Linked DNA regions of Macaca mulatta. The protein of the gene in region 2 binds, or shares a complex with, the protein of the main gene of each other region. Links are inferred from orthologs where the notes say so. Each region holds a gene or a part of one and is shown on either strand. Other genes may lie near its edges. The genes, in order: PRKAG1 and PRKAA2.

Region 1 (15,869 bases), on a different chromosome or scaffold from region 2:
TTTTTGAGACAGAGTCTTGCGCTGTCCCCCAGGCTGGGGTGTAGTGGCACGATCTCAGCTCACTGCAACCTTTGCCTCCCAGGTTCAAGCAATTCTCCTGCCTCAGCCTCCCAAGTAGCTGGGATTACAGGTGTGCAGCACCACGCCCGGCTAATATTTTTATTTCTAGTAGAGACAGGGTTTCACCATGTTGGCCAGGCTGGTCTTCAACTCCTGACCTCAGGTGATCCACCCGCCTTGGCCTCCCAAAGTGCTGGAATACAGTCATGAATCACCATAGCCAGTCCAGTTGTCACCTTCTTTTAGATGCAACACAAGATCTACAGGTTGTCATAATCATATGTGGTTCACTTCACTGCTTGGTCCATGTAGGCAATTTGAGTTTCAGGTTTCTGCCTTGGTGCTAATACAAATGTACTCAAAAACATAAAATAGGCACTGGCCGGCATTGGAATTGTCTTCCTTGTGCTCTGGATTTTAGAGGTTTAGTGCTTCTATTACTAGATTAGTTCTAAGAGCCTTTTTCTAATTTAATTTAATTTTTTTTTTCCTGAGATGGAGTTTCACTCTTGTTGCCCAGGCTAGAGTGCAATGGCACAATCTTGGCTCACTGCAATTTCTGCCTCAGCCACCCAAGTAGCTGGGATTACAAGCATGCACCACCACACCTGGCTAATTTTGTATTTTTAGTAGAGACAGGGTTTAACCAGGTTGACCAGGCTGGTCTTAAACTCCTCAGCTCAAGCGATCCACCTGTCTCGGCCTCCCAAAGTGCTGGGATTACAGGAGTAAGGCACAGCGCCCAGCCCTTTGCATAATTTTTTGTGTACACTCAATGGCTTTAATGAGCTTGCTGGGTGATAAAATCCTGGTGGCACTGTTTCTGGACTACGCAGAAAATACCCAGGACTTCTAAAACATGGTTAGCCAGCCCAGAGCTGCCTATGGAAGTTTTCCCTGTACCTCAGAAGTTTCTCTCAAGTGGTTTGATAATTGAAGATATTAACCATCCCCAATCTGCCCAAGATTTATTCCTGGGTGATCTTGCCAAACTACTGTCACTGATTTTTGTGGTTTGGCCATTATCTGGCCCTGCTTTGACTTTCCCAGGGGAGAGATTCAAAAGCATTGTTGAAGACATTGTTAGGGTCAGGCTATTGTTTCCATGCCCACTTTCCTTTCTTCAGTAAACTTACCTTGAGGATGCTCATTTTCCAGAGCTGGGGAGCTATCTGAAGAAATGACCTGGAGAGACAAGAAAACAGATTCAGCTTAACCTGGTTCCATCCATTTAAGCCTAGCAACATTAGGGGAAGGGCTGGTGAACAAATAATGACTTTCTTTAAAGCACTATAAAGCCACCACCTCCCCCAACCCTGTTTTTTTTCTGTTTCTGAGACAGGGTCCCGCTCTGTCACCCAGACTGGAGTGCAGTGGTGTGATCACAGCTCACTTCAGCCTTGACTTCCTCCGGGTCAGGTGATCCTCCCTCACTTCAGCCTCCTGAGTAGCTGGGACTACAGGCGCACGCCATTATACCCAGCTAATTTTTGTATTTTTAGTAGAGATGGAGTTTCGCCATGTTGCCCAGGCTGGTCTTGAACTCCTGGGCTCAAGTGATTGCCCTCCTTGGCCTCTCAAAGCACTACGATTACAGGCACGAGTTACTGCACCCAGCCTTATTAGGCTCTTCAGAAATAATGATCTCATTTAATCTTCATAACAACCCTGAAGTAAGTACTATTATTAGCCTTATTTTCACAGATTGTCTCTGAGAGTCAAGAGACATTAAGCAAGCTGTCCAAGGTCACATGGCTGATAAGGAGTGGAGCTGGCATTCAAACACCTATCTTCTGGTTCCAGAGCTTGTGGTTTGCTTTTTTATAACATCAAAATTTTAATAAATAACATACATGAAAAAACAAAAAATTTTAAAACTACTTATACCTAAGAAAATAATTTATTATAACTGATGAAGAGTTTGGTTATCTTGGCAGTGTTCATTTTTGTAAATTTGCTTGTTTGTTTGTTTTGTTTTGAGGCAGAGTCGCGCTCTGTTGCCCAGGCTGGAGTGCAGTGGCGTGATCTTGGCTCACTGCAACTGCCTCCTCCTGGGTTCAAGCGATTCTCGTGCCTCAGCCTCCTGAGAGCTGGGATTACAGGCGTGTGCCACCACATCCACCTCATTTTCATATTTATAACAGAGACGGGGTTTTTACCATGTTGGCCAGGCTGGTCTCAAACTCCTGACCTCAACTGATCTGCCCGCTTCGGCCTCACAAAGTGCTGGGATTACAGGCATCAGCCACCACAACCAGCCATTTTTATAAAATTTTTGAATGTATTTATTCCATTCTGATGAAATTCTACCTCTCTGGAATCACAGAAGAGAAGAAACCAATACTGCTACAATATTGTGCCTTCCAGAAATACTTCTATCCACTTCTGAGTGGAATGAGCATTATCTGCAAAGCTCATGTTCTTGTACACTATACCGCCTAATGAAACATTAGGTCTTAAAAGCTAAGACTAAAGATCTGAGCTTAGGGCTAACCCCTACAAGATTCTCACAGATCTACTTTATTAAAACATGGAAGCCAGAGAGATAGCATTGTCTTCCCCCAAACACAGACACTCACTAGGCATATTTGTAGGCACTAGAACCACAGACATTGGTTCTACCATTGTCTACCTCCATGGTAGAGAGAGGGCCACAACTGGGGAGGATCCCTGTAGCTGACTGTTAGCCAGTCAAAGCCTGAATGACTGAGAGGTGGATAAGGAACATGAATGTTCTGAAACTGGGGACTCGAGTCCACTCAGCACCCTTGTCAGTCAAACAAAGGCTGCTATAGCCAGGGGATGCTGGTTTTCCAAGTTTCCCTTCCCAAGGCAGTCTGAGATTAGAGTGCTTTGACTAGACAAAACTTAGAACCATTTCTGTGCTCCCTCAAGTGGGAACATTTGGAAATGCCATTGTTATTTAGGAACCCAGAAGGGATCACAACAATTTTCATCTGCTAGCATCAACAGTCTTGGCTCCACTTTCTCTGGGTGATATCTCCAAAATAACTTAAAACCATACTTCATCCCCATAGCTTCTGTAGTAACATGACATTAAAAACTTCAACCTGGGAGGTTGGCTGACAAACTTCCTAAACCAGGGAAGTTTACAACAGCCCTAAACTTTTCTCCCTTAATGGGCTAGGGGAGAGTGCAGGGAGTAAGGGGGATAATCTCCTTCTCTTCCCTCTGGACTGCATAAGACTGTCAGCTTGGCCTGCCATTTTGGCAGGACTATCAGAACAACAGCCTCATCACTTGTAAGTAGGAGAGAGGGCTGTGATAAACACATGATATATCAGAGTCTCACAAAGATCTACACAAAGGCACAAAAACAGCTACTTCTGTAGAATTTACCCATCATATGATATATATTGTACTGTGCGATACTTATTTTGTCCGTTATCTATCCAAACAGATTATAAATTCCTGGAAACCTAGAACTATCTTATACTTTGTATCCCCCATACCACCAAGCACAGGATTTTGCATATAATTCACAGTTGTTTTGTTTTTTAATTCTCAAAGAATGATGCACACTGATAGGAACAGATATGCCTAAGACTAAGTTACAGAGGGAGGAAAGAAACATATAGCTAACTAGAGATACAGATACCAACATAACAGAGTCAAATACAACTGAATATGTGACTTTTTTTTTTTTTTTTTTGAGACAGAGTCTCGCTGTGTCACCCAGGCTGGAGTGCAGTGGCGTGATCTTGGCTCACTGTAATCTCCGCTGCCCGGGTTCAAGCGATTCTCCTGCCTCAGCCTCCCAAGTAGCTGGGACTACAGGCACCTGCCACCATGCCCAGCTGAGTTTTTTTGTATTTTTAGTAGAGATGGGGTTTCACTATGTTGGCCAGGCTGGTCCTTTTTTTTTTTTTTTTGAGATGGAGTCTTGCTCTGTTGCCCAGGCTGGAGTGCAGTGGCGCGATATCCGCTCACTGCAAGCTCTGCCTCCCAGGTTCACGCCATTCTCCTGCTTCAGCCTCCCAAGTAGCTGGGACTACAGGCGCACGCCGCCATGCCTGGCTAAATTTTTGTATTTTTTAGTAGAGACGGGGTTTCACCGTGTTAGCCAGGATGGTCTCGATCTCCTGACCTCTTGATCCACCTGCCTCAGTCTCCCAAAGTGCTGGGATTACAGGCGTGAGCCACTGTGCCTGGCCAGCCAGGCTGGTCTTAAACTCCTGACCTTGTGATCTGCCCGCCTCGGCCTCCCAAAGTGCTGGGATTACAGGCATGAGCCACGGAGCCCGATAATGACTTTTAACTTTCTGCCTGTTTCACCATATCAGAGGGGGAATTATGTAGTTACATCTACTTCTTTCTACTTTTTTTTTTTTTTTTTTTTTGAGACAGGGTCTCACTCTGTCATCCAGGCTGGAGTGCAGTGGCATGATTACAGATCACTGTATCTTCAACTTCCCCAGCTCAAGCAATCCTTTGACTTCTGCCTCCTGGGCTGCTGGGACTACAGGCACACACCACTAAGCCCAGCTACTTTTTGTATTTTTTTGTAGAGATGGGGTCTCGCTATGTTGACGAGGCTGGTCTTGAGCTCCTGGGCTCAAGTGATCCGCCCACCTTGGCCTCCCAAAGTTCTGGGATTACAGGCATAAGCCACTGTGCCTGGCCTCCTTTCTACTTTTAATAACATAGGGGACCTGAGAAAGTACAACTGTACCACGTAAGTACAAAATATTACAGAGACACAGTCTACATCTGACAAACAGACTCGCAATTTCTTCCAAACTTCTGATCTACGTTTCCAATTATTTGTTTGACAACCATAGATGTCACAGAGACTCCTCAAATGCTTCAATACGAAACAAAACATTTGTCCCTCCAATCCTATTATTCTTGCTGTAGTTCCCATCTTGTTTTTTCTGTTTTATACAGCTGTCTTCTTACCAGTTATCAGCTAAGCTGGTAATGTTATAAATGCCTCAGATCTATATCTCTCTCATTGCCAATTTTACAGCCTTAATTTAGGCTTTTACCTCTCACTTCTGCAAGACTGTTTAAATTGGGGTCCTTGGCCCATATCTCTCTGCTTTTCAATTTGTCTTTCGTGCTTTCACCAAAGCATCTCAGGTTTGGAAGGGGCTTTCATCTCCATTAACAAGAAACTTTACTTTCCGAAGTAGCTCAGTCCATGTACAGAAAGCTGCTATGAACATTCCTAAAAGACATTCACTGACTTGCTCATAAATCTTCCATGGGTCCCCTATTACAAAACAAAGTTCAAATTTAGCATGGTGTGTAATACCTTCAACCTGATCTTAGCCTACTTTTCCAGTCTTTTCTCTCACTGTGACCAAAATCCAAAGCCAGCAACACCAAGCCGCTGGCTCACCCCCAATTCTCCACATCCCCCAGTTTCAGTGCCCTTGCTCATACTGTTCTCTCAATTTGCAGTGCCCTCTCCTAGGTCCAAAGTAATTTTTCTCTCAACTATTCTGTCACAGTCCTTTGTTTTCATATTAATGATAGCATTTATTATAGTCTACCTTTAAATAACAGCTGTTGCTGGCTTGCCCTCACCCTTACTCCAGTTAGGCTGAACATTTTCAAAGCAGGAGTTTTCTTTTTCTTTTTTCTGGAGACAGGATCTCGTTGTGTCACTCAGAGTGGAGTGCAGTGGCATGATCTCAGCTAACTACAGCCTCCACCTCCCTGGATCAAGCAATCCTCCCACCTGAGCCTCCAGAGTAGCTGGGACTACAGGTATGCACCACCACCATCATGCCTGGGTAATTTTTGTGTTTTTGTTTTTGTCAAGACAGGGTTTCATCACGTTGCCCAGACTGGTGCTGAACTCCTGAGCTCAAGCAATCCACTTGCCTTAGCCTCCCAAAGTACTGGCATTACAGGCATGAGCCACCACACCTGGCTGTTTTCTTTTTCCTCTTTTTAACTTCTACCCCAGAGCCTAATCCAGTACATAAAGTGTGAAGGCTAAATTAGAAAATCTACATAAAAATGCTCTGTAAACCATACTACACTCACAAGTAAGTAGAATATGACATGTTATTTTAAATTTAATGGAATTAGACTCCTTATTTTTGTTCAAGATTATCTTGATTAGTCAGAACTGGCTCCCTTGCCTGGGAGACCAACTGCGAATCGTTTTAGTACTTTGGTCGGTTTTCTTTTCAAAAACCTGAAAGAAACAACCTCTCTGTGGGCAGAGAAAGGGTGTGGCAAAGAATTACTATGGGCATGTAATCCAAAGCAAAGTGAACCTGCAGTCCTTTCATAACTACAGTAGCAAATGATAAAAACCAAGATGGGAAGAGTTACTCTGCCTGAAAGAAGACACATGGTTAAAAACTGTGGAGAGGGAAGTGTATGGGAGGGGTTACAGAGCGCTAGAAAAAGACTCCTGAGAGTGAGGGTGGGTGCAAACATGCAGCAGGCAACCCGCGGCATCTGTGGGAGGGTGACAGGGCCCTGCCACAACTGGTCAATGCCTGCTCGCCAAGAATGCGCTGTGCCAAAACTCCTGCTTAGAGTCGCAGAGCGGGCCATGACCTAAACTTGTCCAGGGACACATCGGCCTCTAACACTGCAAGTTTTCCTCTTTCAAGCAAACCTCAATTCTCGGTCTTATTAAGGGAATGTGACTTCACTGGATGCAGTATAAAGATCTTCAGATGTCCTCCTGCCAGGGATTGCAGGGATCACAGAAAGACTACCGAGGTCCAGCAGCTACCTGCAAGCGGAGATCCCTCTGGACACCCCCTGCCTCACCCAGCAAAGCCGCATCACAACCCCGCGCTCTCAAACCTCTAAAAGGGCTTGAGGTGCTAAGAGGAAAGGAAGCCCAAGATTGCCACGGCTTACGTGGGCTCCAAGGAGGGCCAGGAGTCACTGCCTGCTTGGGCTAAGGGTACCGCGTACGGAAAGGCGGCGGGGGCGCGGCCCAGTCCCAGGAGATGCGCCCAACGAAGAAGCGGAGGGACACGGTCACGGGATAGGGCAGACACCCGGCTGCTTTTTGTTTGCTAGACACCAGCGCCAGCCCCTGCCCGGCCCTCCCGGTCTCCTAAGCGGGGTCTTAGGCTCTACAGCGCCCCCGACCGCCCTCCTGCGCTCCTCACCGTCTCCATTGCAAGAGGCGCCGGCTTGGTTTTCTCGCTTTAGGAAACTCTCTTGGGGAAGGCCACGCCCCACATCCGGTGCGGCGACGCCACTTCCGCCCACGTCACGGCAGTCGCCAGACTACGGCGGAAGGCGTGGAACCCACCCTTCCGGCGGTGGCGGGCCTCGGTAACCGCCCTCCCCCGGGTCCTCTCGGACCGCACGGATCCGGCTGACGGCGAGGGTCACGGGACGGAGCCGCTTGTATTTAAAATGTTCTTTTTTTATTTGTCGTTTAAAAACAAACTTGGAAGAAGCAAAATCCAAAACTTGCCCTTTGCCTCTCGCAACATAAATTATGTACAGTTCAGAATGATCGCTGATACAAAACATGCCAAGGACAGGGGCGCTGAGGGTGGAGGGAGAGAGGGCGCTTTAAAAAAGGGAACCATTTCATCCGTTGTTACGAAGGACCAACCTTGCTGTACAGGATACACACAACACAAAATAAAGTCTTCACGGGATTCACACTTGTCAGCGATTTATTTTTTAAAAAGGGGGAGGGTCCTGGAGGTGAGGGGAGAAGACTGTAAAGGGGAAAACTGAAAATTGAGTATGTGCGAGTGTAAACCAACCCAAAATACAAACACGGGGGGGTGGGGGATTCTGATGCAATTATACAGGCAGGGTACTTAAAAAAAAACCAACCAAAATTCCAACCTTGTAGCTTGGGTCTGAGTTATAGTTTATATAAAAATTAAAAACTGTATAAGGTTTCTTCACTAAATTCTACAGGACTATCGGATACCTAGCATATGCTTACAAAGTCTGCCCCATCCCCTTTTCCCAATCCCAGGGCCCAAGCCCCAAACACAGCCTGACTCACGGGAGCCAATCTCCCCCTCCCTGTAGCCTAGACCTATTGCTCTCCGAAAAGGAACATCAAGGGCTGTGGCTTTGAGGGCTGCAGCCCAGTCTTCCTGCTGTCTGATTTAATTACAGCGGTTCCTGTGGGAGTGGGGGGTGTTATTCTCTTAAACATTTGCAGCTTGAAACAGTTGAGGAAGCAGCTTTAAAAAAAAAAAAAAAAAAAAAATCTCCCTACCCCCAACAATCCACAACTCCCCAAATTCAAAACAAAACAAAAACAAACCTAAAATCACAACAGCCACCAAGCTCCCCCTCCAGCAGGCCCGCCCGTCCACCACCACCAAGCCCACCCCTACACTCCAGACATCGGATTCTTGAAAATATTAATTACAAAATGCCCTTTGCCCACAGCCCCTAGAAGAGAACTGCATATAAGCTTCATCTTCATCCCCACGGTTCCCTACCAGAGAGGGGTTTGGGGTGTCACCCACCCCTTACCTACCCCCACCCCCAGGAAGAGGTTAAACTGCAGCACAAGCTTGGGCAGAAAGGGGAAGGAAAGGGAGGCAAGGAACCCATCACCCTCTGGCTCCCCCTGGGGTCAGCTCTCTTTTGTGCGTTATAACATAGTCCAACTATACAACAGGGGGTGGGAATTGCCCAGCCTCTATACCCCCATCTTACAGCAGTCACAGCCAGGGGGTGGGGAGTGGGGTGGGGGGTGAGGAAAAGGGCGGTAGGTTGGGTAATGGAGGGGGCCCCCCCACAAGGGGAGCTCCATGTGTCCGCCCCACACCCCCCTACCATTTATAAACTGGTTTTGTAAAAAGAAAATAGATATATTTATATAGAATATATAAAGCACAAAAATTAGTAGTTTTACATTTGCTCTCCCCGGGGGTGGGGGGAGAGGGGAGGGTTCTCACCTCCAGCCGGCTCCCCCATGCCCCACAAGACTATGTACAATCCCATGTATAAATAGATAAATACCCCCCACCCTCCCCTCGCTGACACTAAGCTCCCCACCCCCACATCACCACCCCTTCCCACCAGACCAGCAGCAGTTTGGTGACTGAGGGAAAGTGGGAGCTCCGGGCCACACCCTGCCTCATTAGGTATGGGCATGCCACTCAGGGATAGCCCTCACCCTACCCCCCACCCAACCCGTCCAGGGGCTGGAGGGCAAACGGGCTCATGATGGGGTTGGGAAAACAGGAGAGAGATATCCTGGTCCTAGGTTTAGCCCCCTCCTGCCCCCATGTCCAGATGGAGAAGGAAGTCCTAGAGCAACTAGGGGCCAGTCATCCCCAATCTTCATCATCATTTGCCTCAACCACCATCCCATGCCCATAATTAAAAACAAAGATGGATTTTTTGTTGTTGTTTTTCTTCCTCCTCCTACCCCCTCTTCCACCCACTCAGAAGAGGGCAGTGAGGTGGGGGAGAGGGTTGGGGCAGTAGGGGGCTTGGAGAGGGTCTCACATTTCAAAACAGCAAAAAATCCAACACTTAAATGAGGTAGGTGTGGGTGCGGGGTCTCCTTGCCCGGCTTGCCCAGCTTGCCCTCCTAGGCAGCTGGGCGCCTCTTTCCCGTTCATGTTGCATTTGTCAGAGTGGAAAACAAGGAAACACAACCCATAGAGAGACAGAAACACAGAGGAAAAGAGGGAAACAGACAGATCAAGAGGGAGGGGGATGGGGGTGAGGGTGGGGGCAGGACCCGGCAGGCAGGGCCAGGTGTGGGACCCGGCCTTTGGGATTGTCAAGCTTAGTCAAGTCTCTTTGCAGCCTTGAGTTGGGCCGGAGAGGTCAGTGGGAGCAGCAGGGCTGTGAGGCCCGGCCACACATCCTCTTCCCCCACCCTGCTGCCTCCCAGATGCTTCTGGGTAGTTCCCGGCCCATATCCCCCTCAAACCTGAGATGCCCAATGGCTGCTTCTGTCTGGCCCCTCCTGGAGCTGGGGGCAGAGATGCCAGCCTGAGGGCCGGTGGTGGGGAAGAGGGTTGTCCCTGGTGCCCAGGGTGGGCTTGGCCTAGGGCCCTCTGCCCCAGCCTCCTGCTCCAGGGGCTCCGGTCAGCCGGCAGCCCCAGCCCTGGGTCCTGGCTCTGGCTGCTACCTCTCTTCCCCCTCAACCCTTTCAGGGAAGAGGTTGTGGGTAGGGGGACTCCCCTGCCTGGTAGCCTCAAAGCTTCTTAGTTCATCCATTTCCGACAATTCCAGGCTCCACAGTGGCAGGGGATCTTGTGCTGATCGTCCTCAAAATCAAACTGATAGTCATAGGTTAGCTGAAAAGAGAAGAGGGCAGAATCAATGCTAGCCCCCACAGGAAGAAGAGAGGGCAGAGAAGATACGATCTGAGGTGTGCAGCCTAGGAACCCACATTTAGGGAATGGCAGAGAAGGGGTGAAAGGAGTAGTAGCTGCTTTGTCACTCACTCAGGATACTTCCTCTCACCTCCTCTCCTTTGGGGATTCGCCGGCTGGAGATGATGATGATTTTGTCCTCTTTGTCAAATGTCACGACTTCGGCCACACAGTTAGGGGCACAGGAATGGTTAATGTACCTGGGTAGAAGGACAGAGTCAGGGATGTCAGGCAACTAACTTGGGAAAATTTTGATTCCTTGTTGTCTATCCCCCAGAGTGCTACTCAGGGACCATTAATTTCCCTCCTTCCTCGTCATCTCTCACCTGGCAGGGCCGCCGGTCAACGTAGCATCAATCACATGTTCATTGTTTATTCGGAACATGTAGATGCCTCGATTCTAGAAAGGCAGAGGTTGCAGAAGAAGGGACAAGAGTATCAGAGAGTGGGATCACGTAGGAGACTCAGGCAGTGGGCTCATGTTCTTCATTTCTCCTGCCTTTCCCTTCCCCACCACAGCTTTCCTCCTGCCCTCCTATGACCAATCCTGACCCTTGCTCCTTGGTTGAGTGAGGACTATGCACCACAATGGCCCCTCTGTCAGCTTATACCTGCTCTTCGTAGATTTTCTCCCGCCGGTTGGCCACCTCGTTCCGAATGATGGTGCCAATGTACTCGATAACCATTGTGTGCTTTTCTAGGTCCTTAGCTGCATAGAGCCCCAGGCCCTGGATGCGGGAGCGAGCCAGGTACACGTTGTTCTTCCATTCGGTGCGCAGCCGCCGGTACTGAGATGACTTGGAGTGCACAAACTGCTTGCTGTACGGGGTGTTGGTCTCGCCTGTGAAGGTGCTCTGATATGCCTTAGACATGCTGGTGCTGTTCAGGGTATGGGGCCTGGGAGGTGATACAATCCATGACAAGACAGCTCGCCCTCAGACCAAGTACACACCACCCACCTCCTCCACCACCTCCTGGGATGTGCAACACATCAGTTAGGGGCGTGTGCTGCTGGCAAGCACTGGAAGTGCAGCCTTGGGAAAGGAGTAGAGGCAACTGGGTCTCAGCTCTGGTGAGGAAGCAACTAGCTATAGGGACCCTTCTGACACCCTGGGTGGTACAGAGAGCCCAGGGTGAGGGGTGAAGTGTGGAGGGAGATGGGGGGCACCAATTCCCCTACACTGAGCCTGCTCTCCCATCTCCCACTTCCTACCACTCTCCTGCCAAACCATTCTCAAGGCCATGCTCCTCTGGGAAGTTTTCTGCAAGTAGCCTAGGCCTAGAATTTAAGCTGATGGTTTGCCTGAATGTCTGAATCCTACCTCCTGCACATACCGGAAGCCCTGAAAATGGGGACTGTGCCTACCACGCTGGGCTAGATTTGAATTAAAACTGGCTGTGAACTCACAGCCTAAAGGTGGTATCCTTTCTTCAGATTGTCCCCTTCTCTGACATAACATTGGGCTCTGTGCAGATGGCTCAGTGCAGGGGAATGACGGCTGCCTGGCAGGATACCTTTTACCACCCTAGGGTACCAGCCAAATTCTTGCCATCCCAAAGCAGTGGTTTTCAAATGTTTCTGGTTCTTTTTTATTTAGCAGAAATCTTTGCTTTTTTCTTTAACAAAATGTTGACTGGAACTCCAATACATAAACTAGATGACAATGGAGCGCTTCTGGTTTAATCCAATTTGGGGAAGGAAGAGATATGCATGGGAAGGCCAAGTTCAACCCATCAGTTTATGTGATTGAGGACTTTTTGGAACACATGCACTCACAGTTTGAAAACCACCATTGCAGGGCATCAAGGACAAGGTTGGCTAGGGATAGAGAGTCTCTGACACTCTACGACAGCCTAGGAGCCACCAAAGACCTTCAAGAAAGCCCTGCTACCATAGATTCTGCCTCCCTCTACCCAAGGACTAAGGTCCCTGGTACACAGAAAGAACAAGGACCCACAGAGGTAAGGATCTGGTCCCAGCTGTGTGATCTTTGCCTAGTCATTTAATCTTTCTGGGTCTCAGTTTTCTCAGCTGTAAAATGGGGGTCATACCACCTGCCCTACCTACCTCATAAGGTTGTTGTGAGGATCAAATGAGATAATGGATGTGAAAACGCTTTGAAAAAAAAAGTATAAAGTGCTATACAAATGTAAGGTTTTATTATTTTTCTATTATATCTCTAACTATTTGTTTTTTACACCAACACTCACAGGGAAGGGAAGGTGACCCTAGCACTCATGGGGTATCTGAGGTTTGGGAGAATCACAGGCCCTCCCGCTGGAAGTAAAACAGGAGAGGAAAAAGGTGACCAGGTCCCTTATATATTTCATAAAATTTCACCAGTTTACCCATTACCTCCCCAGGGTGCCCGAGATAATTCTGTCCTATATCCCAAGTGCATCTGAGCAGGTTGGGAGAAGAGGAAAAGGATAACCTACCAATATCTGTGTGCCCTCTAATTAGGAGGTCTAAGAGTGATTCCCCAGTTTCTCCACGAGAACTCTGATCTGTATCCTAAATCCTCATGATGGGACCAGAGGATCCCTATCAACACCCACACCCTCCCTTGGCTCCAGCATCACAAGCTCACCGTTTGTAGTGTGTGAGGATTTTAGGCTCTGATCGGGCACAGCCAGTGGGGTTGATCATGAGTGGCAGCTCCATAAGGGGGTGGCGCCCATAGCGGAATAAATAGTTTTGACAGTTCTCCACCCCGGGCAGCTGTGGGCACAGTTCATACTCACCTTAGCCTGAGTTTTTTTGGGGTGGCCAAAGTTCTCAGTGCCCGCCAAGCCCCCCAGCTCCCAGCCCCTTCCTTACTGATTCAGCTATGCGAAGCACAGCGTGCACCGTCAGCCCAAAGAGCTCCTCGCCCTTCAGATACTCAGGGAAGAGTCGCAGCATGTCAGCCTCTTTTCTCATGGCAGCCACAGGCTCAATGATGCGATTCCACACGGCTAAGAAGCAGGGAAGAGAGCAGCCCTTAGAGGCAACTTCTGCTAACTGACCTCCAGTCCCTAACCCCAATCCAGAACCGCAGTTGTTTTCTGTGGCCTTCAAGCCTCCCTATCATGAAGGTGTGTTGGTCTTCCGGATCCTCTCTTGGCCTCCTAGTCTCACTGTCTGTTAAGAAGCAGGAGGCTTCCAACCCCAGGGGGTCATCACAGAGCCTTGAGACAGAAACCCAGGGCCCAGCAGACCCAGCATAGGCCATGGAAGGTCCCTAGTGAAAGAACAGGCATGCTTTGGAGTTGGAAAGACTTGCGTTCAGGTTCTAGTACTGGCCATGGGACCCTGAGCCAAAACAGTCATGTGCAGCTTAACAACATTTCATTCAATGAGGAATCATATATACAACAGTGGTCTAGTAAGATTATAATACTGTATTTTTACTGTATCTTTTCTATGTTTAGATGCACATACTTACCATATGTTACAACTGCCTACAGTATTCACTAGTTACATGCTGTACAGATTTGTAGCCTAGGAGCAATGGGGTATACCACAGAGCCTAGGTGTGTAGTATGCTGCACCATATAGGTTTGTGTAAGTACACTCTATGAAGTTCACACAATGACAAAATCACCCAACAATGCATTTCTCAGAATGTATCCCTGTCATTTAGCAATGCATAACTGTACTTAAATCTAAGACTCAGTTTCTTTATGTGTAAACTGGGCATAATCGTAGTACAATACTTACCTCATAGGGTTGTATGAACAAAATAAACTACACAAATCACTTAGCTTAGTTTGTGGCTCACAGTACACACTCAAAAAAAGGTACCTGCTCTTACTGTTATTTTATCATTAACACTAAAACTAAAATCAAAGTAATTCTTTTTTTTTTTTTTTTTTTTTTTTTTTGAGACGGAGTCTTGCTCTGTCGCCCGGGCTGGAGTGCAGTGGCCGGATCTCAGCTCACTGCAAGCTCCGCCTCCCGGGTTTACGCCATTCTTCTGCCTCAGCCTCCCGAGTAGCTGGGACTACAGGCGCCCGCCACCTCGCCCGGCTAGTTTTTTGTATTTTTTGTAGAGACGGGGTTTCACCGGGTTAGCCAGGATGGTCTCGATCTCCTGACCTCGTGATCCGCCCGTCTCGGCCTCCCAAAGTGCTGGGATTACAGGCTTGAGCCACCGCGCCCGGCCCAAATCAAAGTAATTCTGATTTCATCCAGGGAAAAACAACCACAAGGAACTCGGTTAGGATTAGGTTAGGTGAAGCAGACAATAGTCTCAGAACTGTTTCCTTTCGTTCCACTGAGGATAGCAAAAGGAACTAGAATATGTGAGATTAGACAAGCAAAATATTTTCAACTATAAGGGAATTTAGGGTGACAGAGAGGCTCAAACACTTTCACTGGGAATTTTCAAGAGACCCCCTGCCTGCCTGAGGTGGGGGAAGGAGGATCACTCACATGGAGGCTACAGGTCCTCTTACAGACACTGTAACAGTGACCCTGGGAGAAACTTTCCCCATACCATATTATCCATTTCAAGGGCCCACCGCTCACCCTGGGGAGAAGCGTCAGTGAAGACCAGGTCCTCCAGGCCCTGCTCGATGACTTTGATTACAAACTCCGGCCGCCCGTTGTTCTCACCAATAGAACAGCGATAGCAACAGCGACGATTGTTGGTGCGGAGGCTCCAATAGATGCGTGTGGCCTCGTAGCCCACGGGATAGAGGGCAGTGGCACTATGAAAGTCAGCCATCTGGTGAGGCAGCAGCTGTCCGATGGCGTGGAACACAAGGCCCCCCACACGGAACATGTGCAGCCGTTCTCCCCGCTGAATGATGCTGGCGATTTGCTTCACCTCGTCCCGCTCAATGTAGACCCGCCGGAAGACAGCAAAAGAGCTCAGCTCTTGCTCACAGGGCCCCTTGATCTTATGCATTGGACACAGCATGGTCTTGTCCTTGAAGAACATGCACTTGGCACGGATGGCACAAGCAAAATGGTAGACATTGGGGCAACGCATGCGATTGCAGCTGCTGGTGGCACCAGTTCGCTGGCACAGGGAGCACTTGGTTAGCAGTCCTCGGTGCAGGGCAACCTCCACGTTCATTAGTGCCCCGCCCTGGGTCTCATACACCTCCGTGGACCAAAGGGCACAGTTGAGGTGCACCCACAGGTCCAGGTCCAGGTTCAGCAGGCGGGCCGGCCCATCAGTGGCCCCATCACCCTCCTCATGACAGAAACAGCAACGACGCATGTCTCGAGGTACCTTGTCAGGTCGCAAGGCTGTGCCAAGCTGCTCCATAAACTCTGCCACTTCCCGCTCATCCTCCTGCCGCCCGCTGCCCTTCTGGATGGTCAGCAGCAGCCGCAGCCGCTTCCAGCGCACTCCTTTCCATTTCTTGAGGCGAGGAGGACGCGAATCTTCACCTTCTTCAGGGGGCCGGGCACGGGGCTTGGGTCGGGCTGATTCAGGGGATGAGGCCAGTGGCAGAGGTGAGGGGACAGGTGGCTCAGCCAAGGGTTCG
Region 2 (15,842 bases):
AAACAAGCATTTAGAAAAAAAAGTATGGCATATTTAAAAATTTTAGATCTCTTATTTTACGAGAGTCAGTTTTAACTTACCTTATAATTCATTTATAATTTAGAAACTGAGATGTTGATTAAGAACATACTGTTCTTGTTTTAATACTATATATAATCTGAAGAAAAATGATTCTGAAAAAATGAAGTATATTAATAATATACTAACATTCAAAGTAAGAGACATATAGCAAGATTTTATAAATTATCTTTAATAATATAAAAGATTGTTTAAAAAGATCTAGTGGCAGATTAAAAAGAGAATTATGAATACTTTAAAAACAAAGGTACCACCCAAAGAAATACATAAAATTTATCAGAGGCAAACACTGCCAAACATAAGACACCACTTAAGCAAGAATACTGTTCCCTTGAAGGGATGAAGAAGGCTTCTATTATTAGCATAGATAACTGCCTGAAATTCTTTCCTTAATAACACCATACTAAAAATAAAAAGGTTAATCATATTTCAAAATAAACACATTGCTTTTCATATGCATTTCAATCACTTCAATAACAGAGAAAAATAAAAGCCTGATTTAAGGTTTACATTTCTCTTATATTTGTAGCTGATGAATACACTAGGTAGATTTGCTGTCATTTTTATAACATATTTAATGTTTTAAGGGTCCTATGCCAGCCACTTACTCATTATTTCTTAAAGGATTTGAGATTAGATCTTCCTGCTAGGTCAAATTAAATTATCCGCCTGGCTTCAAAAATTATTAATACTTCCTCTACAAAATATTTTCCCTATCATTGAGGAAACCACAGGAATCTCAGAAGAATAAATGGGGTGGTATTATCATTACAAAGCAGTACCAAATGCTTTCAAGAAAGCTAACATGGACCACAAGGTAAGTGGATATTTTGGGATTTTTTATAAAAAGCAGCAAGATAAAGCAGGGTTGTGTCAGCATGAAAAAGGGAGACAGTTCATGGAACTGAGGTAATTACCTCAATGTATGTTCGACCTACAAAATTCTTTCTAATTTATATGGATATGTTAAGAGAAAGTTTGGTAGAAAAGCATTTTTAGCTCTTTTTACCAAAAATGCTTTGGTAGAAAAGCATTTTTAGAGTGTATTATCTGTACTGAAAATATATGTATAGCCTCATTTTGGTTCTACTACAAGTGGACTATGACTTTAAAATGACCCATTCACACTAAATGCCATCTGCTGCCCACACTTACCCCCTCTCCAGCTTATGCCTCTTTCCTCCAAGAGTTTCTATGAGGGATATCATGGGATCTGGAATACATACATACATATATATGTATACAAAATACATATAATGTGTTTGTGTATATGTCTTCCAAGTGATATACAGGAGAGGGTGAAAAGTGAGCAGCTTCTGGAGAATTAGAGGTTCCTGAACATATTCATTTGCAGAAAGAAGACTCGAGTAAAACAAGACAGGAGGTAGTGAATTCTTCCCTCTCTCTCATTAATAAATTTCTGGTCTCAGAACCAGATCACAGATTATTCTCATAGTTCAGCTAATTGTGGGTTTAAGTACATAATGGTGTCTACATACACAAAAGTACATAAGTAATTCTGAGTGCTTTTTCATCTACCTACATTTTCTCATGTACTTCTCACAACACTAGAAGAGAACATATGGTATTATTCCCTTTTTTAGATTGAGTTTGACCACATGGCTGGTTTATGACAAAACAAAGGTTCCACCCCAGGTCTTCTAAGTCCAACACACTACAGAGAGTATATATACTATATCATGCTGCCTTTGTGGACATACTCGGAAACTAGCTACCATTTACAACATTGTTTCCTATTTAAAATACCCTTTGAAAGTCAAGCAACTGATTACACCAAATGAACGAAATCCATTCAGATATTAAGGACACAATTCAAAAATCATATAAATTATATATATATATATATATATATATATATATATATATATATATATATATATCAGCGAAAGAAACCTGAATAGCACATAATTCATTTACCTAATTGTTTGAGAGAATAATTCAACTGATTGTAATTCAATCACTAATCTAATATTTGAGAAGAAACATAGTTTCATTATTTGGAACCAATATTTAACACTTGTTTAGAATTTGAATAATTTCAAAAGTAAAATCAATTTACTGTGAATGTGTGTACATTCACTTTTATTTCACTATTAGTTCCATTTCATTCTTATTCATCTTCCATATTTGGGAAAAAACAAATTACATGACTTAGTCATAAAGGATATTGCTTTTAATATAAACATTAATAAGTATCATAAAGCACAGATGAAGTAGTCATTAAGAACTTTCTTCAACCTAGGCAACCACAAAACAGGGGCAGATTACTACAGCTCTATCTCAATGTTGGTGTGAGAACTGAAGGCATTTCAACGGAAAGTAAGTACTTCCTAACACAGGGTGCAGAACTTACCTACAATTACCATGCATCTCACCATCTCCACAACAGTCTCATCTATCTGTATAGCATTTTATCTTTTCCAAAGCCATTTTATGTACCTCAACTCATTTGATCTTCATAACTATTCCAGAAAGTAGGCAGGCCAAGTATGATCATTGTCATATTACGAAGGAGAAAACAAAGGCTCAGCGTCTAATGGTTTTTCCCAAAGGTCAGATAACTAGTAGTAGAAATGGAATTAAATTCCAGAGCTAATACCTTCTTATACCAACGTTTTCTTCTAGAATATCAAATCATTTGTACAAGTTCTCTTTCATCTGGTTACTAAAGGTTACTGGCAATCGTTAGTCAAGATTACTTTTATATCAGTAAACACATTGAAATCACTAGTATTTCTAAGAAACATGGGTTAAAACTGGTAGAATTCGGCACATTTATAATAAGAAAGATTGAGGCATCAAATTAAATTCTGGAAAAATAAAAATAAAAATGTTAATCATCTATATACGACATTTCAAAAAACGTTATTTATCTCTAAATATGGACTAAAAGACATTTAAATCTTATTTTCTCAATTCTGATAAATATGAGCAGACATAGAAAATTATATCCCTGTAGGTTTGAAACTCAGAACGTACTAGGCATTTTGACTTTATCGTCCATACAGCAGAGACTTTGCAGTCTGAGAACCCTGAATTTGATTGTTAGCTCTACCAGTTAATAGCACTGGAACCTTGGACAAGTTACTTAAAGTATCTGTTTCTCAATTTCTTCATTTGTTAAATGGAGATAATACCAAACTTCGAGGATTACTCTGGGGAATAAAAAAAAGCAAGTGCGTATATAGTACGGTTATTAGAATATAGTAACAACTTAATCAAATTGTACCTTTTATCACTGAAGTGTTGCAAATATGTTTCCTTTTCCCCTGTTCTACATTACATCTACATTTCAGATTCAGGAATTCCAATTTTCATTAACCAGGATGAATAATTACATACATCCATTTTGAGGAGTTAAATCTTTTAAAAATCGGTTTAATGATAGCTTTGTAAAGGACCTCACAGATTCGCTATTCCAGTGTTATCCTTTAGGAGGGGAAGAAAACAAGGACCAGGGAGTTTAAATTGGTCAGGGCTTCCACACTAGCACACAAGTCAGAAACAAATCCTAGTAAAGGACCAAAATACCACAGACATAACTTTTAGTTCCGTCAATTGATGGGACAGTTGTGTGAAATTTGATTTATCATTTAGGACTTGATATTTTCATTTCAAAATAAGGTAACACTTTTCGCTTTTTTGTTTTGTTTTGATTTGGTTTGGTTTATCCTTCCTGTTATCTCAAAAACAAGTGGGGAATTAGTAAAATATTTACTTAATTTCTTGAAAGCAGTCTGTAGGCCACTCATGTAACTATTTGAAAAACAGAAAGGGTAACTTCTTGGTGAGACTTTGCTGACAAGAAAGAACCTAAGTATCCCTTGGTGAAAAATTCCAATGAAGAATAATTATTTCATAAACCACATATGGGTAAATGTATTTCTGGAGTAAAATGTTGAAAAAAAATTTGTTTAAATCATAAACCACATATATACTACTCCTCATCTTGAAAATGCAGGCTTCTTTTAAAATAAATAATTGGCATTATAATTTTTTTTCTTCAACCGGTCTTTATATAGCACAAACAACAGGACCATTCTAGAATTTCTATCACCTTTAGAGAAGTTGAATAAGAGATGAACAAGTCTAATTACAAGAGCTCTCTAACAGTTCTACCCTACCCAGAGTGAGAACCTAAACAGTAAATATAGATTTTTTTTTTTTTTTTTTTTTTGAGACGGAGTCTCACTCTGTCTCCCAGGCTGGAGTGCAGTGGCCGGATCTCAGCTCACTGCAAGCTCCGCCTCCCGGGTTCACGCCATTCTCCTGCCTCAGCCTCCTGAGTAGCTGGGACTACAGACACCCGCCACCGCGCCCGGCTAATTTTTTTGTATTTTTTTAGTAGAGACGGGGTTTCACCGTGGTCTCGATCTCCTGACCTTGTGATCCGCCTGCCTCGGCCTCCCAAAGTGCTGGGATTACAGGCGTGAGCCACCGCGCCTGGCGTTTTTTGTATTTTTTAGTAGAGACGGGGTTTCACAGTGTTAGCCAGGATGGTCTCGATCTCCTGACCTCGTGATCCACCCGTTTCGGCCTCCCAAAGTGCTGGGATTACAGGCTTGAGCCACCAAGCCCGGCTGAGAAAAATTTTTAGTAGATAAAAAGCATTACTTATAAACTCTGCCAGCCCATATAATCTGTTTCCAAAAACAGTCCCCCAGCAATTTAATAATACAACAGACTAATGAAGGAGAAAATTTAAAACATTTTAAATAAGGCTTTACTAACAAATACAAAGATTTCCATATACTTTAAAAAAACAAATTAAAACTACTGCTATTAAAACTATTCCATTTTCAATTTTTGCTTTTTATACCTAACTTTGGTCCATAAATTGATATATCAACAACTGAAGTTATAATTTCTTTATTTCCTTCTTTTATTTTTTTAAGATGGAGTCTCACTCTGTCACCCAGGCTGTAGTGCAATGGCGCGATCTCGGCCCACTGCAACTTCTGCCTCCCGGGTGCAAGTGATTCTCCTGCCTCAGCTTCCCAAGTAGCTGGGATTATAGGCGCACACCATCACAGCAGGCTAATTTTTGTATTTTTAGTAGAGACGAGGCTTCACCATGTTAGGCAGGTTGGTCTCAAACTCCTGACCTCAAGTGATCCACCTACCTCAGCCTCCCAAAGTGCTGTGATTACAGGTGTGAGCCACTGTGCTTGGCTTAAAATTTCTAAATGTATAATTAGCATAACAGTCAAAGTTGGTCATGGTAGGACACACTTGTAATTCCAACACTGTGAGGCTGAGGCAGATAGATTGCTTAAGTCCAGAAGTTCGAGACCAGCCTGGCCAACACAGTCCCTAAAAAAGCTAATTCATAAACAAATAAATAAGAAAAAGAAAAAAAGTCAAGAGAGAAAGCACATAAGATGTTCCTTGCTTCTCCATTTCCATGTTTTTATAACCATTTGTCTGTCTGTCTGTCTGTCTATCTATCTATCTATCTATCTATCTATCTATCTATCAATCAATCAAAGACAGGGTCTTCCTATGCGCCCAGGCTGGTCTTGAACTCCTGGGCTCAAGGGATCCTCCTGCCTCGGTCTCCCAAAATGCTAGGATTACAGGCATGGACCACCACACCTGGCCAACCTTTTAAAATTAAATCATCTCTTATTAGCTTTTTTAGTAGAAATTCATTTTGCAATGTCTAAAATCTACAGCAATTAAAAATGCACCTGCTTTCAACAAAAACTGCTGGGACAATTGGTTATCCACCTGCAAAAAGTTAGTCTTACACCCTTATCTCACACCATACACAAGAATTAATTCAAAATAGATCACATAGTTAAATATAAGGGCTAAAATAATAAAATATTTACGAGAAAACATAAAAGAAAATCTTTGAGACTTGGGCTAGGCAAAGATTTCTTGCCATGACATCAAGAGCATAGTCCATAAAATAATTTTAAAAACTAATAAATTGGATCCCATGAAAATTCAAAACTTTATACTTCAAAAGACACAAGAAAATGAAAAGACACAACAGACTGGAAGAAAATATTTGCGAAATATATCCATTAAAGGATCTGTATCCATAATTTACAAAGAATCCTCATAACTCAACTTATAGGATGACAAGCAACCCAATTAGAAAATGAACAAGAGATATAAACAGACATTTCATCAATGAAAATACACAAATGACTAGTAATTACATGAGACAATGTTCAACATCATTAGTCCTTTGGAAAATGTAAAATTAATGCCTCAATGAGATACTATTTCGCACCCACTAGAATGGCTGTAATAAATCAGGCAGACACTAACAAATGTTGGCAAAGATACTCAGAAAAGGGAACTTTCATACATCTTTGATGGGACTGTTATAAAATGGTGTGACCATTTAAAAGTGTGGCAGTTTCTCAAAAAGTAAAACATAAAACTATGATATGACCCAGCAATTCTACTTCTAGTTATCTACCCAAGCTATGTGCAAACATATGTCCACATAAAGACTTACATCTTACATGTGAATATTCGTAATGCCATTATTTATAATAGCCCAAAACTTGAAACCATGACCATCAACTGGTTTTGTATAGAGAAAATGTGGTATATCCACACAATGGAATATTATTCAACTATAAAAAGGAACAAACTAATGACACATGCTCTGTCATGCATGAATCTCAAAAGCATTTTTAAAGAAGCTAGACACAAAAGATGACATATTGAATGATCATGTTTATGAAGAAGTGCCTAGAAAAAGCAAATTTATACAGGCAGAAAACAGATTAGTGATTTCCTGGGACTGAGGGTAGGAAAGAGATTAACTGTGATGGGTATAAGGAATCTTACTGTGGTGTCCTCAAATGTCCTAAAACTGATCTATAATGATGGTTGCAACATTTGGCAAAATTAGTAAAAATCATTGAATTGTACACTTAGAACGGATGAATCTCATATATAAAATATACCTAAATAAAGCTGTTTTCCTTTTTTTTTTTTTTTTTTTTTTTTTGAGATGGAGTCTTGCTCTGTCACCCAGGCTGGAGTGCAGTGACGCAATCTCGGCTCACTGCAACCTCTGCCTCCCAGGTTCAAGCGATTCTCCTGCCTCGGCCTCCTCAGTAGCTGGGATTACAGGTACCTGCCACCACGCTCAGCTAATTTTTGTGTTTTTAGTAGAGACGGGTTTTCGCCATGTTGGCCAGGTTGGTCTCAAATTTCTGACCTCAACTGAACCGTCCGCCTCAGCCTCCCAAAGTGCTGGGATTACAGGCATGAGCCACAGTTTAAAAAAAAAAAAAAAAAAAAAAAGACTTGTTTCACTTGTCCCTTGAAGAATTATATGAGTAACTGTAGATTGTAGCAGTTTCTATAATTTTTATTAAACAATTGTACTGATCATAATCTTGGATAGGAAACCATAGTATCACTTTTCAGAGGATCTAATACAGTGTTAGGAAAACTCCTTCAACTGGTTGTTCATTGGACAGAGGTTCTCCAGGAAAAGGATTTCTCATAAATCAAAGTTCTTTCTGTTTATATTTCAAGAAGCCAGTGCCTGGAAACAATTCAAAAGTACACACAAGAGATTTAAGTTGTCTTTGACAATGGACTGATTGATCTGATGGGTATTCTACTCTACATTCAGATTACAGTATACAAACTTAAAAAGACCAGCAAAAATTTTTAACACAATTTGAAAGGACATAGGGTTAAGTTATATAACTTTGAGAGTGTACATGTCCAAATGTCAAAGGCACTGTTTGCTTGAGCAACTGTATAATGTTGTAACACAATAGTCCTTAATAATGATACTAAATGACAAGTAACATTACAGGCTTACTGTATCCCTTACAATCCCTGGATCGTCCTGTATTCATCTTAAACATATTCTAACTATCCACTCTACTTATAAGGTCTTTCAAAAATAACCCAGGACTTCATAACCCTCACAGAACCGCAAAGAATTTTACAAACTTTTTAGGTCATTGCAAAAATACCACCTTGTCTGACCACCTTATTGAAAACTGCCAACCTCACAAAACTATCTTCCTTTCCCTGCTTCATTTTTCTCAGTAAAATTAAATATACCTTTTACATACATATTCTGATTACTGTCTGCCTTCCCCTACTAGAAAGCTCCATGAAAAGATCCGTTTTTTCGTTGCTGTATCCTCATTGCCTAGAACAGTGCCTACCACGCTGCAGGTGCTCAGAGTTTTTTGAACAAATGAATGGGTATTAAACACGTGCAAGAAAACAGGAGCTGATTCTTACCACAGGAATGAACAATGAGTCTCTTCTACTCATTCAACAGCCTTGACTTGGGGTTAAAATACGAATTTTACAAGGAAATAGAGACCTCAGAATAAAATTTCCAGACTGCCTACTCAGCATTTCTTCAGCAAAGAGAAAAAAAAAAAAAAAAAAAAAGCCAATGTTTCACTTATAATTCTGGATTTACAACAAAGTATTTTTAATAAACAACTGTGTCTATTCTGGAGAGAAGGCAGGTTAATTAAATCCCATGTGACTAATTAACAAAAAAGAAAACAAATGAAAGCTCAACACAACTATTCTTACTAGTTAACTTAACTCTAATAAAGTATAACATTTCAAAAGCAGCCTGTCTTCCTACACCCAAAATGGGATCCTATCTCCATGAAGACAGACCTTAGCAGAATATGCCTTAGTAGTCCTGACCTCCTCAACCTCAATCCTCCAAACACCAAGGAAACTTTTTCTCTCCCTTACCCCAGAAGTCTTCCCATAGCCATTTTACAAACACAACCACCTTCAGACCTCTCTGTTCTAATTAACCTCTGACCCAATCCAGCTGCATTCCAGCGTTTAACAACACCCCAGGAAGAAAGACTCACAACCTCTGGCCCCTGGAGCATCCCCCAAACAGTCACCCCCAAAAACCGAGAGTCCTGGAACATGAAGGAATCTGGGGATGGCAGGGACCTCCCAGCAAGACCAGAATTGGAGGACATCTTAGACTTCACTCTGGTACTGCCCATTTCTGTGTGACCTTGGGCTTGTTACTCCATCTCTAGGGGTCTTAGTTTTCTCACCTTAAGGGTGAGGACATGTTGACCGAGTCACTGTAGGATTCAATGAGATCCCATGTAAAGCACCTAACAGGGCACCCGGCAGGAAACGGCGCCTCAGTCCTCAGCGTGCATGATCCCCGCCCTGAGCCTACAGGCTCAGAGCTGGGAGGCGCCTCGTGGATAGAGTCCAATCTCCCGGTTTTGCAGAGGACACTGAGGTCCAGAGAAGACAGAAGTGCCTTGCTCCAACCTCCGGAAAGGCGGATGGGCGCGGGACCTGGAACCCAGGACGCCCGTCTTCAGCCCACACCCCCGCCCCCTTCCCTGGACCCTGCGGGAACCGGGCGCCGGTGCCAGGCGAGGCGGTGCGCGCCACCCTCCCGGGGCCCCAGCTCCGCGCGGCCCGGGGCCGCTCCACCTGCCGCCGAGCCCCGCGCCCGCCCGAGGCCCGGGGCTCCCGCCTCTCCACCCGGCCTCCCGCAAGCCAGGCAGCTCGCACAGCGGTCCGGAGCGCGTACTCAACTCTTCACTTTGCCGAAGGTGCCGACGCCCAGCGTGTCGCCCAGCACGTAGTGTCCGATCTTCACCCGCCCGTCGTGCTTCTGCTTCTCAGCCATCTTCCGCGCGCGCGGCCTCGCTTCGCCGCCTGCCGCTCCGCGCCGCCGCCGCTGCCGCCGCCTACCCACAGTGCAGCGGGCCCTGCGGGCGGGGGGGCGGACCCCGAGCCGCGAGGGGCACGGGGCTGCGCGGGGTCCCGGGAGGGGGCGCTGGGCGCGCCGGGCCCAGGTGGGAAGCAACGGGCGAGCGGCGGGCGGGGCGGGGCCGAGGGAGCGCGCGGCGCCGGCTCCCGGGAGTGAGAGGCGCCTGCGGCAGAGCCAGAGGCAGCGACGGCGGGGGCCGGGGACGCGGGGCGCTGGGCGGGAGTGCGGGAGGGGCCGCGCCAGGTGCGCCGGGTCCGAGTGAGGGACGGATGCGGCAGGTGCTGCGAAGTGGGGTGGGCGAGGGTCCCGAGGGAGCCAGGGTGCCCTTTCTGAGGAAAACCGAAGGGGGTGAAAATGGGGGGTGAGGCTGGGGCCCGTTTCTAGGGAATGGAAAGACGTGGAAGTCAAACTGGAAGAAGAGACGAGCCTCGGGTGTGGGGAGCGAGGGGCTGTAAAAGGGAAGAGGCGAGAGGGGAGACTGCGGGAAGGGCCCTGGTCAAAAGGGCAGTGGCAGAAGAGCCTCTAGGAAGCCCCTCAGTTTCGTCTGAGGCTTTTGGATACAGGTCGCGGCACAGGGAGAACGCACGCAGCTCTGTGCGCTCTTGAATTGTCCTCCTCTACTTATTCTGTAATTCCCAATTATTTTGTCCTGTAGATAGAAGAGACCCTCTCCGCCAGAGCTCTCAGTTGTAACTAATTTGCCCACAGTTTTCCAAAAAATCTCAGTCACGGTATTTGCTCGAGTGTATTTTAGCACATGCTTATATAAATAAGTAGTTTTACCACGCGCTTATATAAACATATAGTACCGAAATGTGATACAGCTGTATAAGAGGGAAATGGGAAAGACGTGGAAAGGCAAACAACATTCTGCCCACAGAAAGTAAAATACGTGAGCGACAGAGGAATTGTGAAGGGCGAGGCCAATACAAGGCCACATATTAAAGGAAGAATAAATGTGATATAGAAGTGAAAAGAGTGGTAAGAGGAAATTAGAAGCATGATGCCTAGGTAGCGTGTTCAAAGACTGACCTCGCCACGCCCCCCCCAAAAAAGAAAAAAGACTGGCAAAGAATTAGGTAATAAAGTGATGATCTCTGCCTCCCTTCCTTCTTTGCCGCCCTTCCTTCCCTCCTTTCCTTCCTTCATGTTGTCCCATTCTTTAATGTTGTTCCGTATTTCAGTGATTAAAGTTTATTTGCTTCTCACCACACACACACAAAGATTCGTATCCGTTTGTTAATTAGCTTGACATAGACATTCCACAATATGTATTTCAAAACATATACATACTAAATATATACAATTTTTATTTGCCAAAGAAAAAATTTTAAAACTAAAAAAATATTGCTGTTTGGGGATAAGTAATTAAGGATTAGTCAGACATTTATAGCACTGCATGCCAGTAGAGTTTCAAGGTCACATTCCTCAAACATGAAGTCTCTTGAACACTGTTTATATGTAAATTGAAATTATTGATAAAAAAGAATAGGACACAACAAAATTTTGTTTTCTGAGAAGTACTAAATATAGAAATTTCAAACATTCATTCTCATCCAAACATCAAGACAATCTGATGAGAGATGATCACAGCTTATAAATTATAGATATCACAGCTGTTAAACAGAGGCTATTTTTGTTCATTCTTCAGATCATCTTTCTTGCTGACAAGAAGTATCATTTAGGAATCACTCTACCTAGCTGGCAATTTTGAGAAAATAGCCAGTTATTTTTGTGCTGAGCTTTCATCTGGTTAAGGGTCATTCCTTCAGTATTCAAGTGAGTAAGAAAAGCCCTATTCTGCTTTTGCCGTATGAGATGTATATGTCTTCTGCTCTAATATCCCGTTAAAAGGTGTTGAAAAGTCTTAGATTGCTTTCTTGAAGCTACATTAAGACGAACTGTAAATTGAGAATTTAAAGCATTTCATACTGTCTTAACTATTATTAAATACTGTAAATTAAATTATTTTACACTTCATAACAATGATTCTTACATAGTCATTGTGGACTACCTTATAGTTTTGTTACTATCTGAAACATCTATGATACTTTGTTGATTAAGAAGTTCATTTAAACACAATTATCTCGTTTAATTTTCATAAAAGAAAGATTATTATTCCCATTTTATAGATGATAAAATTTAGTTTTTCCCTTTCTGATTTTCCCAAGGCTAAAAAGTGGCAGAGTCAGAACTTATACCCAGTTCTGACATGTCCTTCAGTCTGCCTAATATACTGCAGCTGCCTATACAAAAAGAACGTATGGTGCTCTAAGAAAGTTAAAAATGGTCACAGTTGTGATTCCATTTTCATATTTTTATTATTTCTTGGGCAGTCCAATAATATATCCTACAAATTTGTAAGTATTTAAACTACTTTTTGTTGCTTTTCTGACTTCTATTTAGAGGAAAGGTTGAATGCTAAGTGGGTAAGAAGGACAACTCTTGGTGCAGCACTCAGCCCTCTGTTGTCCTGGACACTTCAGATAAGGTTCCATATTTGCCTCTTCCTACTCAGCAACAGAAAACCCGACAGTTAATCAGACTAGATCTCCTTAAGAGTCATGCCCCTTGGAGGTCTCACCCCTAAAGATGTTCTGGTAAATGCAATGTTCCCATTTCATTATCTTCCAATGAAGGTTTCACACCGCTATTGTTTAGTACCAGTTTCTAAGACCGGTGCCCCAGAGAGGTGCTCAGTTCTTGGCGCTGGTCCAACTATTACTGCTTTACCCTCCTACTTCTGAAACTTTGGGGTCATTTTACCTTCAAATATTCTAAAATAAATCCTAAATAGTACATTAATGCAAGATCACTAAACTAATATACTATACTAGATACCATTGATTTTATCAGTAACCAATTCTTTCAAGTCTTTGCTCAGTCACCTTCTTGGTGAATCCTACTCTGGCCACCCTATTTAAGTTGCAGTTTCTTTTCTTTCTTTTCTTTTTCTTTTTTTTTTTTTTAGAGTCAGGGTCTCACTACGTCACCCAGGCTGGTCTCAAACTCCTGGACTCAAGTGATTCTCCTGCCTCAGCCTCCCAAAGGACTGAGATTACAGGTGTGAGCCACCGCACCAGGCCTAAATTGCAGTTTTACCTCACTCATGCTCCCTGCCCTGCACTCTCCGTCCCCTGACCCTCCTCAACTTTTTTACATAGCACTAGCCATCTAACATACTATTTAATTTACGTGCTTATTATATTTTTGTCTGTTTCTCACCATTAGAATCTAAACTTCACAAAAGAAGAGAGGACTTTTTTCTCTATTTTGTTCACTGATGTATCCTTAGCTCCTGGGACAGTGCCTGACGAAACATAGACATCCAAACAGATTCAAAGAGTGTGGCACCTGAAGTTTATTCAGTATGGGGGAACCTCTTTAAGGGGGAAAAAATGCAAAATTGGGTATGAAAGTATTTGAACTGAAAAACAACTATCTAGAAATTTATAAAAGCTGACAAATGCCACAAACATCCCCAAATCCAGAAAAATAACAATATTTTTATAAATTAATTATCCAATATACCTCTATAATACCTGTTTTCTGCATTTTCTGGATGTGTACTCTTTGATTACCTCTTTATATTTTGTAAATTTTTAAATAGAATAGAAAGATAATTCTGACATTAAGCATGATTCATTGTTTTTCATTACGTTTCTTTTTACGTTTTCCATTGTACATGTTTAATATAGCTAATACATAATTTATCAATTCTATTATCATATACATTATACATACATATAGATATATACATATATGTATTTATATGTATTTTTTTACATATTATATATGCAAATGATATGTTCATATCCCACTTGCTGTTTCTGGGGCCTAGTGGAACCTGGTATATCATTCCAAAAATATTTGCTAAATTGAATTTTAGAAAGGGTTAGTTATTAAGTTAGAGAATCAAGTAACAACAATACAGGGAAGAGTGCAGTTTTATCTTATGTATACACATATTAAAGGCAAAGCATAATTTTACATCTCAGCACAGCAGTCATTAGTGAGGTTAGAGAGGCATGAGTTAGCACCTCTGAAGTCTATAGATTCATGATATAGGGCTTCTATGGTTGTCTCCAATTTAAAATAAAAAAGTTGGACACTCGATGAATAATAAAGGATGTTTATGGTATTTTATAGGAAGTACAAGCTCAATAATTACATTTTTAAAATTTTGTGTGAAAAACTTCAAACATACACAAAAGTAGAGTAACATAAATAACCTTAGCATCGGTGATGATCAACATTGTCATCATTTACCAATCTATCTCTGCACTTTTAAAATTTATTTTCTGGAGTATTTTAAAGTAAATAACCAGATTATTTCGCTGGCAAATACTTCAGTATATAGGTCTAACAGATAAGCACTTCTTTTTAACACAGCCATGCTACTACTATCATATCTAACAAAATTAACACTAATTCCTTACTGTTATGAAATACCCACTCTGTGGTGAATATCCCTTGATTGTCTCAGGAATGTAGTTTTACAACTGGTTTATGCTAATCAGGATCAAAAAAAGTCACACTTACCATTTTGTCAATACATCTCTTTTAATATACAGTGTTTTCTCCTCCCACTCTTTTTTTAAAATGTCATGTATTTGTTGAAACATCGAATCATTTTAACTGTTGAATATCCCAATCTTGTTGGATTTATCTGAACAATTATTCATGATCACAAGAGGTAGTAGAAAAAGCTCAATATTTAGAATAAAAAATCATGGCCTGGTGCAGTGGCTCACACCTGAAATCCCAACACTTTGGGAGGCTGAGGCAGGTGGATCTCTTGAGTCCAGGAGTTCAAAACCAGCCTGGGCAACATGGTGACAACCTGTCTCTACAAAAAATAGCTGGGCTGGTGGTGTGCGTCTGTAGTCCTAGCTACTAGGGAGGCTGAGGTGGGTGGATCACCTGAGCCTGGGAGGCAGAGATTGCAGTGAGCCAAGATCACAGCATTGCATTTCAGCCTGGGCAACTGAGCAAGACCCTGTCTCAAAATTATATATATAATTAAATATGTGTATATACATATATACATATATATGTATATATGTATATCTCTATACAGATGTATACATACATATATGTATATATGTGTATATATGTATATATGCTAAATTGAATTTAGCATATATATACTCTATATGTATATACAGTATCTGTGTGTATATATTTGTACATGTGTATATATATCCTGAGTTCATGTTCCATCTTAGCCTCTTAGCAGTATGTCCTTAAACAGATCATTTCACTTCTTATTGGTAAAACTAATAGTGTTGAACTAGACTATAAAGTACTAAGGTACTTTTCAGTTGTTGAGACATTCAACTCCCAAACTCCACTTCCTGTTTTAGAGTTGAACAATAGAGGGAAAAAGATAGAGTGATTACTGTAAAGTATTGTAGGTCACTGTCCAAGGTATCTCAACAAACTGATCTTGCCACATTATTTTCCCTATACACAGTTTATCTCCTAATATTTGTCATCATTGGTTTGTAAGGTTGAGATAATACTATTACAGGCCTAGCCCCCTTCAAAGAGATAAGTAGATATGCGTGACAGTACTTGAAACCCTTTAAAGGAAATGTAATAAATGATTTTGAGATGGTATTTTTAGCAGGTACCCTAGTAACAAATATTATACTTAACATAATCCATTTTCATTTTCTGACTGAGTACATTTCTAAATTGCTTCGATATGAGTCAACATTATAATTTTCAGTGCAGCTGAGGAAAAAAAAACATTTTGGATCAGACTTCCTTCATGAGCAGATGCATTAATTGGAATAACAAAGGTTGTTTGCTTTGCTGTATAAATATTATGGATCTGACAGCACTTTTAGAATCTTGCTTTCATGTGTGTATTGACAGCTTGTCTGAAAAAAGCTCAAATACACTTTTAGATCAGTTAAATCAATTATTTCCCTCCTGGCATGGATTCAGTGACTATCTGTACTGAATACTTTTGAACTGGTGACGTTTGGGTAAGGAGATACCAATGTCACCTTGA

What was found.
Region 1: the proteins of PRKAA2 (region 2) and PRKAG1 are in contact, whole or in part, in a crystal structure (PDB 6B1U), measured with the Homo sapiens proteins. The link is inferred for Macaca mulatta from reciprocal best matches to the Homo sapiens genes PRKAA2 and PRKAG1. Residues at the interface, in NP_006243.2 of Homo sapiens: Asp329, Asn330, Ile333, Met334, Ala337, Phe340, Tyr341, Leu342, His366, Pro367, Glu368, Arg369, Met370, Pro371, Pro372, Leu373, Ile374, Asn444, Val446, Thr447, Pro530, Arg531, Leu532, Gly533, Ser534, His535, Thr536, Met537, Asp538, Glu541; in NP_002724.1 of Homo sapiens: His36, Asp40, Leu41, Ile42, Pro43, Thr44, Ser45, Val50, Phe62, Leu64, Val65, Thr66, Gly68, Val69, Arg70, Trp75, Ser77, Lys78, Lys79, Gln80, Phe82, Pro158, Glu159, Ser160, Gly161, Asn162, Lys170, Arg171, Lys174, Phe175.

The regions. Positions count from the first base shown.
Region 1 is NC_133416.1:56,178,341-56,194,209, forward strand, and holds the start of PRKAG1 (5'-AMP-activated protein kinase subunit gamma-1), read right to left. Parts: upstream 7,235-15,869; 5' UTR 7,182-7,234; coding exon 7,173-7,181; exon of another isoform or gene 6,687-7,172; intron 5,797-6,686; exon of another isoform or gene 5,677-5,796; intron 1,246-5,676; coding exon 1,197-1,245; exon of another isoform or gene 798-1,196; intron 1-797. Other genes in the region: KMT2D (histone-lysine N-methyltransferase 2D), read right to left, coding at 10,215-10,307, 10,477-10,585, 10,712-10,785, 10,997-11,282, 12,454-12,501, 12,977-13,107, 13,207-13,343, 14,899-15,869. UniProt on the Homo sapiens protein: AMP/ATP-binding subunit of AMP-activated protein kinase (AMPK), an energy sensor protein kinase that plays a key role in regulating cellular energy metabolism.
Region 2 is NC_133406.1:183,969,624-183,985,465, forward strand, and holds the start of PRKAA2 (5'-AMP-activated protein kinase catalytic subunit alpha-2), read right to left. Parts: upstream 9,768-15,842; 5' UTR 9,737-9,767; coding exon 9,643-9,736; intron 1-9,642. UniProt on the Homo sapiens protein: Catalytic subunit of AMP-activated protein kinase (AMPK), an energy sensor protein kinase that plays a key role in regulating cellular energy metabolism.